2 linked regions of the Neodiprion lecontei genome follow. The protein of the gene in region 1 binds, or shares a complex with, the protein of each later gene. Links are inferred from orthologs where the notes say so. Each region holds a gene or a part of one and is shown on either strand. Other genes may lie near its edges. The genes, in order: B-cell receptor-associated protein 31 and mitochondrial fission 1 protein.

Region 1 (5,191 bases):
TTTATTTTAGTAAATAAAAATTACTCACACTTAAGAGCTACATGACACGGCGATTGATATTCGAATATCCTATTCCAACGCAAGTTAATAATACCAGACTTCGTTCCTCGACGATAGTTTCATCACTGCTCAACATGTCTATCTTAAAAACAACACCGAAAAAGTCTCTCAAATCCCGTAGAAATTGTATTCTGAAAATCAATAAGATATAGTCTAATGATAATCAAGCCTTTGATAATAACAATAAAGTGTTTTTTTGTACAAAATGACGTTCACTTACGCGGCTTGCGTCAATGGGCCTACGGTCATCTTTGAAATGTCTTTCTTACCAAGTGCCATAAACAGTGTTGCCATGCTTTGAAAGGCAGAATCTACACATCCACTTCTGTAAAGTAATTGTTTCTATAAAGGTGTTGATTAAATAATAACACATTTAAACTTACCTGTATATTTCATCCAAAAGATATAAGGCTGCCTTTTTACCAAGATCTTCAGGAACGCATGGTAGAGATCCGGTCTCTGTCAAGGATGAAAATGCTTCACCACTCAAAGATACTCCTGTTGTCGTTTCAGCCACTAAAGTAATTCCAAAACCTAGGGGTAAAAAATATTTATCTGGATATAACACGAATTTCAACCTCAACTGATAGAATATGTTCAAACTACATACTTTCATTGTGAATTAACTTACTGACAAAGAAAGTTGTTAACATCGATCTGTTAACTAGAAAAATTATTTTTCGTAATAATAATTTTACCTGGAGATTTACCGCTTGATGAACCTCGACTCTGATCTGTGTGAATATAAATGTCTGGAAGAAATTTTAACAGACATCCTTTAGCAGATTCCACCATGCGATTGGCTATTGCCGGGGATACACGTATCGAACACGCTACACCTCGCACTCGTTTGACCATTCCACAATTCTGGCACTATGGCAATAAGTTTAAGGTTAGGCTCCGTGTACCGCTGGATGATTTCAAATTTATGACAGTTGTTTAAAAAAATTGTTAACCAACCTGTATCGACTTGAGGTGACGATTCACCGGACATTTAAACCATACTTCGCCACCGCCTAATGGAGCAACGCCTCTCTTAGAAATATTCAATTCCACGTCATCATCCCCCACAATGAATTGCTTAATGACAGGAATTCCGCTGGCTTTCAGTCTATCGATAGAGGGGTCTGAAGTAATCGGAAACCAATTACTTTGATAGAACGTTTGATTTTTAATATGCACATTACAGAAATGAACAAATTTTCAAAAATTCTTACCAAGAGTATTGTTGGTTATTCCTTTGATTTTGAGTCTGATCATTTTCTTACAAAAAGGGGCTAACATCATGACAGCTTCTAAATAGTAACTGATACCTCGTTCAAGACTACATTCGTGTTCCAGATCTCCTCCGACCAGTAAACCAGGAATATAAGAAATAATAGTGCCAGTCTCATTCAACTCTATTCTGGTCCCATTTGTGATTTTGTCCATGAGTCGAACGAAGTTGATTTCATATTCTGTAATAAAAACCAAAAACATAAATGTCGAACTCCATGATTAAAACTAAGGAACTGAATTGGTCAACAATCGGATCCGTCCAGTTCGAAGTTCTAACCTCTAAGGCCGGGATTGTCATCGTTGATTCGTATCCCCGTGATTCTTACGGGTTTCCCGGACAATGTTGCCAGTAGTAAACGATACCTAAAGTAATTGCATCCTTCGTACGTGAGTACGTTGTTTATAAGTTTTCCTGGCATTCTTACTCAATTATATTACTGTGATCAAGTTTCAAACAATAATCACCGTAAAGCACGTGGTGTTTATTGCGATTCCCTATACTTTTTTTCTCTTATTTATTTTATCTTCTTTTTTTCTCGTCCAGAGAACCACTGACTGATACTTGACTGATACCTACTTATTGTCAGTGAGAGAAGACCTCGTTGACCTGCGTTCCTCAAATTGAGTCAAAACAACAATCTTTGACGTCTTTCCAATATTTAGGAACGCAAACTTTCGCCAACGGCCTGGCCAATCAAAGAAGACCCTGTGTTCGTGGAAAACGAAATAGAAGAAACGTAGAAAACATAGCAACATTTACGGGGTACAACGTCACCCTGTAATTTATTTATAAACTCAGGAATATCCGTACCGCACTTTGTACTTAGCTGGACGTTACGTTGGGCGAATGAGTGGTTAGAGATTTAGGTATTGCTTGAACCGGCGTGCGACTTTCTAAAAACCACGTAAGTAGTTGAGCCATTAATCTAAAAATTTCGCTAACCAAGTGAAAATAGACGATTCAGCCATTTCATATGTAATCTTCTGCGCTAACGTGAAATTTTTTTTATACCTTATCATCGCATTCGACAAGACAATATTCCTGTGAGATATGAGTACAAGACTCGCCTACATGTACGAGTTTCATTACGATTCAACAGTCAAATCCTTGCTCCCCGCCATCTCCTCGTTACATACATTTTTAGCCTTGCATCGACACAGAATATTTGTCAAATTCATAAATAGTATTGCGTCATAGGCTGAAGCTATCTGATCAAAGTTCGTAAAGTCGGTTGTGATTCACTTTTAAATCTTAGTATACAGGTATTGCATTTGATCTCATGTCATTACTGATTTTTTTTTTTTTTGTGACAATTCTCATTACTTTACTCACTTTTCTTGAGCCAAAGAATAATTCAGACAGTTCAAGTTTTTGGATATATTCAATAGTGTAAAATCGACTCGCATCCTCAGATACAGTATTTTGTAATAGATATCTGTAATTTGGGTAATCTTGGGTCTTTTTGGTCTTATGCTGACAGTAATCGACACTAGCAAGTCAGAAAAAAATTACTGAATGCTTAAATAAAATGGGCTCAAGAGTTTCCCATTTTTCATTTGTAATTCATCCGTTGGTCAGTCTATCATAGTACAATAATATCTTGGATGTGACGATTTAATTTAATTCAAAATTCACCCGGGCTAGAAACGACAGACATTTAAAAACTTTTCAGTACCTGATATTAACCAAGTGTGTAATTGAAATTGTTCATTATTATTTTCAGATATATTCGTCTGAAAGATAAGAAAGCAAGAAAAAACGGTAATAAAGATGAGCTTGCAATGGACGATTATCGCTTCTTTTTTATATGTGGAAATAGCTGTTGTTCTGCTCCTCGTTTTGCCAATAGCATCCCCGAAGAGTTGGCAACGGCTTTTCAAGTCCAGATTCCTTCAGAGCTTGAGCAGTCAAGCGTCGATATACTTTTTAGTCCTGCTGGCCATTTTGGTATTATTTTTGCTAGATGCGATTCGAGAAATGCGCAAGTATTCTAACATAGAGACTGGGGAACATGTTCACTTAAATACAGAAATGCAAGGTACGAAATTTGTATACTATTATTTGTTGAAAAATGAAGTGCATCTGTGATTCAAAATTCAAAAAATGGGACTACTACTGTATGTGGGTTAATGTGTTTTCGTAGAAATAACATTCTTTGATAACGAAATACAATTGCATAAATTATAGGTAATATGCGGCTGTTTCGGGCTCAACGGAATTTTTATATTTCTGGATTTTCGCTCTTTCTGAGCCTTGTGATCCGTCGCTTGGTTACACTGATTTCGGCCCAAGCAACGCTACTGGCACAAAGTGAGGCAGCTATGCGGCAAGCAGTATCTGCCACCACCACAGCAAAATCTCTACTGGCACAGAAATCATCAGGAGAAAGTGCCCAGAATGATTCCAACGAGGCTCACGACAAAGCAGTTTCTGAGCTTAAAAATCAAATCAAAGGCTTAAATAAACAAATTTCTGAGCTCGAAGCGGAATTGCAAAAGGAAAAGAAAGACAAAGAAGCAGTCACATCGCAAGCAAAATCTCTTGTGCAGGAATATGATCGACTGAGCGAAGAACACGCCAAGTTGCAATCTAGCGGAGACAAAAAAGTGGAATAATTTTCACCATACTTCCTTTTGCGCAAAAGAGATGGTATTTGTTTGTAATTCTAGCTATAAAAATAATGTTATATTTTTATTGTAGGATTTTCAAAGCTGCATTGTTTGATTATTGAAGTTCTCAGCAAGTCTTTCTCTTATATTTATCTTTGAATGCTTGAATATTTCATGTTTGTACATAGCAACAATTACATTGTGACGGATTTAATATTGCTAATTTTTTTCTAAAATTTGGTGAGGTGCTTGAGCATTTGTAATTTCATTATGGTAAAAAGTTACGTAGAAATGAGGGCTTCTAAAGTTTTTAAATGATATACATTCGTCAGTTTAAAATATCAATCAGAGTCTAAAATTATGAATAGCATTAACCGGCTGTTGTTTATTAATTACCATTAGAGCAATTTTTAATATCGTTAAACATATAAATGTAACGTCTATGATGTTTCCTGGTATTGTATGCATATTTTTGAACTGTTTGTATTACCTTTTATAGTTTCTTGAATACAAGAAGTATGTGAAAATTATTATCATCGATCTGATCTTCTTGCATCCCCAATTGTGATTACTCAGTACAGGAATGTTGTTCTATGATAGTGCGACAATGAAAAAACCTACGTATGATGTGAATTCCCATAAATATAACAATATTATTGGTCACTAGAAATATTTTTACTCAAACAAAACATGTATACATGTTGGAAAAAAAACAAAAAACTAAACTTGTTGACAAAATATCTAGTAGGCTAGATAAATATGACTTGTAAAGCTACATCGTGAAGAGACTATTAAACTTTATGGTACTGTGATAATTACAAATTGAAATTATGGAAAACTTTTACTAACATGCAAGTGGAAGGTGTAGATAACAAGCCCAATAAACTAAGTTTGGATATAAGTGACAGTAATGCTACAAAACTACGTGAAAACACAAGTCAGAACTCAGAGTCAAAATTTGAGCAACAATATTCTGGCATTAATTGGGAAAACGCAATATTCTTACCATTTGATGCATTCTTTGCCAAACTGATAATACTGTCTGTCATTCTTTTGATTTTCACTGTAATCTACAAAATTGCATACAGTGTAAATACCACCCTGTATATACCAGAATACTACATCATACCAAGCTGCGACGTGATTTACATGACTGATACCATCCTAAGAGTAGTCCACAGCATGTTTACTAGGATACGAGAGATGCGTCAGTACTTGCCTACGAATTGGCTCTTACTTGTTA
Region 2 (5,149 bases), on another chromosome or scaffold:
CTTCTCTGTCCAAGATTATGCTTGAGCCAGAGTTCAAGGCGGCGTTCAAAGTGATTTATATTAATTGTACGGCGATAAAGTCAGCTGGTGCTATTTACGCCAAAATCGTTGAAGATCTGGGTCTGAATCTTGCGAAAACTGAGAAGGCGAACAGGTCAACACTTGAAAAGTATCTGAAGTCAAAGCATCAAATGCTCCTACTTGTTCTCGATGAAATCGATCAGCTGACCACCAGGAGTCAGTCGGTTCTCTACACAATTTTTGAATGGCCCTCTAAAGAGGGATCCAAACTTGTTCTAATCGGAATAGCAAACGCTCTGGACCTTACTGACAGAATTCTTCCCAGGCTACAGGCAAGGTGTGAACTCAGGCCAAAATTGATGCATTTCGCACCTTATTCTAAACAGCAGATAGTCAATATCATCACGGAAAGACTCGAGGAGGCAAATGTATCTGATGTTCTCAATAAAGTAGCTGTGCAAATGTTGGCTGCTAAGGTTGCAGCTATTTCTGGGGACATTAGGAAGGCTTTGGATATCAGCCGTAGAGTCATAGAGATTGCAGAAGCTCAGAGAGTCGCTCAGGTTTTACAGCCCTGTAACGACAATGGTGAGCAATTTGGAGATTGGAAAATTCGTCGATTTTCAATTTAAAAATTACAATCTTAAACTAATTCTTTTGTCGTGTTACCATTGATATGGGATGAGTTAATTTTCGGATTAAAGGTAGTAACATTGCGGGAAGTCCACGAAAACAACAGGAGATACCTCAAGAGAAATCAGTTGGTTTAAAGGAAGTTGTCATGGTTCTGAACAGCGTTTATGGAGGTGCCCAGAACATCAACAATGAAGAGAGTATATTTCCCTTGCAGCAGAAGCTGCTACTGTGTTCGCTGATGCTAATTCTTAATAAGGGCAAGAACAAGGATCTGACGATTGGAATGGTAATTGAACTCGTGGATGGTGATAATAAACTGCGAAAAAATTGAATCAATTTTTTTTCCTATTTGCAGCTGCACGAGGTGTACAAAAAAGTTTGCAAGAAACGAAATATACACATAGTCGACATGTCCGAGTTCGTTAGTTTGTGCTCCCTTGTCGAAACTCGAGGTGTATTAAGAATAGTGGGTAAAAAGGAACCCAGATTATCGAAGGTACATCTACTGTGGGACCAGGAAGAACTTGGAGGAGCATTGCAGGATAAAACTATGATGTCAGAAATTTTAAATGACGCATCTTGTCTGTAGAACGGCTCCAAGATTGTCTATTAGCAGCATCAACGGATAAGACTAGAGTGCCTTTCGTTTTTATTAGAAACAATTTTTAATTAACGTTACGTTTGATTGTAAATTATTTTTTGCGCTACTCAGATTGTTCACGTCTTTTTGAAGTGCACGCGATAATGTTTTGGAAGATTTTTCAATCAATCTTATTTATTATCGATTATTTTATCATACTTCGCAAGCGGCTTATTCACTTATCATAATTGCACAAGTCAACCGAAACAATATTGACGCGCTCTTCGAGTAACATTTTTTCACCCCGTACTGACCGAATAATAATTGTTATTGTACCTAATGAATTAGCCTAATTGCTTAGCAATCATCAATTCCATATTTTGTATGAATGTAGTATCGTGGATTAATAAAGTATTGTATTTGTATACGAAGAAGAAATTTTCTTGATGCAATCGCATTCAGTATGCCCTTATTTACTGGTCCATTGATCGAAAGCAAACTCCAACAAAATTCTCAAAAGTTTGAAACGAAAATTTTTTCAACGATTCGTCCCTTGAAACGGAATGGTCGGTAAGGTAAAGTTATCGATAGGAACATAAGATGTATTTAAATTGTTCGCGCTTGTAACGCTTGGCAGTATCAACGCCGATTGGTGCATGGCGACAAGGAAAAGAAGAGAGGGAACTGAGGTATCCATCAGCGTATAAGTCGGTAGGTATTACCTCTGGTATTACCAGTGTTAGCAGTTTTTGACGGTGGTGCCTAACGTGACATCGGAAACATGGAAGACGTACTGGACGAGGTGGTTTCTTCTGAAGATTTAAAGGTCGGTTGACATTTTTTTAATTCAATATTAATTATCACGGTTACGATAATATTCCATGGCATGTGTCGCGGGTGAATTTGACAGAAATTCGAAGCGTATTTTGATTTCTACGAATCGCCGTCTCTACTCCGGGATCGCAGCTAGGCGAGGTTAATAGTCTGAACTGAATAATGGGAGATCCTAAAGATCATTTCTAACATCCGCGACATACGAATAGTTGGATTCTCTCAGTTCTCCGAATCGTTATCTTTTTATAACAGCTGCTACTCCAGCGATACATTTGTACTTCCTAACAAATCGTGCTGCGTATTCACGACAAAGTCGTACCACCATAACCTTTAAAGTATCGATTCACGCACGACATTGAGCAAATTTAATCTTAATTTCCAGTTCCGTTACCGTAGGACCAAATTCGTTATTAACGCGGCATCCGTTTCTTCAAACAAAATACAAATGTATCTATTCAACGGCATGTCACGCAACTCACCGATACGTAATCATTTCAAAATAACGTGACTCACCTCTAAAGAATAAGAGAAAAAAAAAAAAAACATAAAAAATGCTAGAGAGAACCTGAAAAATGGGAGTTACTTGTTTATCATTTTTGGTTCTCCAAACTGAATTGACTTTGTAAATTAAACTTTATGATTATTTCTTATGTTGCAGCTTTTTATTACTCCGACATTTTTCCATTTCGAACCTACATATTTCACGACTTCATTTTATCATTTTCAGCACTTTTTCTTTGTCTATATCTGAATCTTGATAGCGAGTAACCAACTCACTAAACGTCATGATAGTTACTTGGCTGTAATAGATAATACTATGGTGTATAATATGTTTAATCGTTGTGCAATAAATGTATGTTTGATTACTCTGATTATTTACAGAAATTCGAAAGAGTTTATCACGAACAGCTGCACGCTTCAAATGTTACCCAAAATGCGCAGTTTGAATATGCATGGTGTTTGGTCAGAAGCAAGTACTCGGCAGATATTCGAAAAGGAATTATCTTGCTTGAAGATTTGTTCAACAAAGAAGGAGAGGCGCTAAAACGTGACTGCATATACTACCTAGCGATTGGAAATGCTAGAATAAAAGTATTTATTATTGAATTGAATATTAATATCATTAAACGATGGAATTTATCTTTGTATCTTTAAATAGGGAATAACTAAACCTTTTGCAAATCTCATTGTTTGTCAAGATAACTTTGTAACAGTTTTTACTTTCTTAACATTCTTTGATATAATTTGATTGCTCAAATTAAATTCATAGCCAGTTACCTTTCATGTAGGAGTCTGAAATATCAAAACTCGTGCATTTGAGCTTCAATAACACATCTGTATATCATTTTCTATTAAGGAATACACCAAAGCTTTGTCATATGTGAGAGCGTTTCTGCAAATTGAACCAGGCAACCAGCAGGTCCAGCATTTAGAAACGACAATAAAAAAGAAAATGGAAAAGGGTAAGACTATAAATTTTTTAATATAATATGTTGAAAATATTTATGTAAAAATAATTGTTACCTACAATTTTTTTTTCTCGTTTTTTACCAAAGAGGGACTTGTTGGCATGGCAGTAGCTGGAGGAGTAATAATTGGACTTGCAAGTATTTTGGGATTAGGAATTGCAATGGCAAAGAAGGGTTAATGAACACTGTCAGAGTCTGTGCATCATCGACAATGTTTAATGGCAAACGATGTACAGCAGATAGAGTGATAACTTTTGAGTAAAAAATTACACTGATACACATATAGTGATGATCTTTGCGTAATACGAATTAAAAATAAATGTATTTTCTTTCCATCATTTCGTTTCGATTTTCAATTTAGGTGAAATAAAAATCGCCTTCCATGTTTTTATACTTATATATTTAAACTGATTTTTAGTAGTGTAATTTGAAAAATCAATTTCTTAAAAAATGTTACCGCATCACGAATTACAGTTCGTATTATTCAAAAATAGGCGGTTAACGTCACAATAATTCCGTAGTAGTTATGGATGCTTGTTTTGGATACATTCCAAAATCTTTAGCAATGCATTATCCTCTTATTGTATAGCTTCCTTGACCTTATTTAAATGTTACATTAAAAAAAAATCTTGTCTCAATTTGTACGCGTAAATTAATATATAAATCGACTATTCGTACTATAGTAGATATATTTATGCTATTTTTAGGCTGTGTATATAAGAATGAAGTTACAGTGTGAAATGATCATATCTATGTTATTTACGGAACCCTAAATAAAATCTGTGTTTCATTCAGTTACCAACACAGACAAAGGCGTTTCTTTCTTTTCTGCATTTCCTGTACACCAGTAATTACCGCATCATTACTTCAATAACCCATTTCTCTTTCCGTACTCATTTCTGATATTTTACAAAAAGTTCGGTAGTATTATAATGAAAATAAATTTCTTACCTCTGAAAATGACATCGAAAGCGTTCAAATTACGCGCGCCGGTGTCTTAACACAAACTATGCGAGCTATTGTTTTCCGTTCTTCAGTCACTAGTTTTTCGAAATATATCGCGCATTGGTCACAGGGAGTTCGTGCGGGGTTTCGAATAAACAGGCAAGCTTGTTACCTTGTAAGAAGTTCCGTTCCTCTCAGATTGCCGGCTGATAAAATTTGAAAATACCGCAAAGATTTGCATGCAACACACAAAGTGGGTGAGTTCCGGTTTCGATGATTGACAATTGACGATCAGTCGGTCGTCGCCGCGTTGTTCTAACGACGACCGTTGAGAAGTTTGAATCCTTTCGCAGCGTCACTATCTGTTCGCGTATCAAATAAATTATACAGAAATTCTACCTGTAAAGGTATACAAGGTGAATCGTTCAAAATACGAAAAACTCTAAAAGTTGTGAAACTATATACGATAACGTGCGGTGCGAGCAGCGCCGATTTTATCTCTGTTCTTCATTTGTTAACCGGTAGGCACATCGCCATTGTCGGTGAACTCGAGCTTACATGTCGTTCAGTGATATTTCGGGAATATGGTGATTAATAATCTGGATTCATTATTTCCTGAACGTATGTGGTTTCTATTAGTGAATTTCCAATCCTTTTTCAAGAA

Evidence for each region.
Region 2: the proteins of B-cell receptor-associated protein 31 (region 1) and mitochondrial fission 1 protein are in contact, whole or in part, in a crystal structure (PDB 8XWX), measured with the Homo sapiens proteins. The link is inferred for Neodiprion lecontei from reciprocal best matches to the Homo sapiens genes BCAP31 and FIS1. Residues at the interface, in NP_001132913.1 of Homo sapiens: Asp224, Leu227, Glu228, Ala231, Lys232, Ala235; in NP_057152.2 of Homo sapiens: Arg52, Val56, Glu59, Glu60, Pro63, Lys64, Lys89.

What each region holds. Positions count from the first base shown.
Region 1 is NC_060260.1:410,709-415,899, reverse strand, and holds B-cell receptor-associated protein 31, read left to right. Parts: upstream 1-2,087; 5' UTR 2,088-2,243; intron 2,244-2,466; exon of another isoform or gene 2,467-2,601; intron 2,602-3,062; 5' UTR 3,063-3,109; coding exon 3,110-3,377; intron 3,378-3,526; coding exon 3,527-3,954; 3' UTR 3,955-4,478; downstream 4,479-5,191. Other genes in the region: RNA 3'-terminal phosphate cyclase-like protein, read right to left, coding at 38-191, 281-385, 444-594, 759-933, 1,021-1,187, 1,278-1,517, 1,616-1,757. UniProt on the Homo sapiens protein: Functions as a chaperone protein. Is one of the most abundant endoplasmic reticulum (ER) proteins.
Region 2 is NC_060261.1:34,272,258-34,277,406, forward strand, and holds mitochondrial fission 1 protein, read left to right. Parts: upstream 1-1,911; 5' UTR 1,912-2,018; coding exon 2,019-2,063; intron 2,064-2,953; coding exon 2,954-3,163; intron 3,164-3,428; coding exon 3,429-3,534; intron 3,535-3,627; coding exon 3,628-3,719; 3' UTR 3,720-4,352; downstream 4,353-5,149. Other genes in the region: cell division control protein 6 homolog, read left to right, coding at 1-609, 726-943, 1,013-1,246. UniProt on the Homo sapiens protein: Involved in the fragmentation of the mitochondrial network and its perinuclear clustering. Plays a minor role in the recruitment and association of the fission mediator dynamin-related protein 1 (DNM1L) to the mitochondrial surface and mitochondrial fission.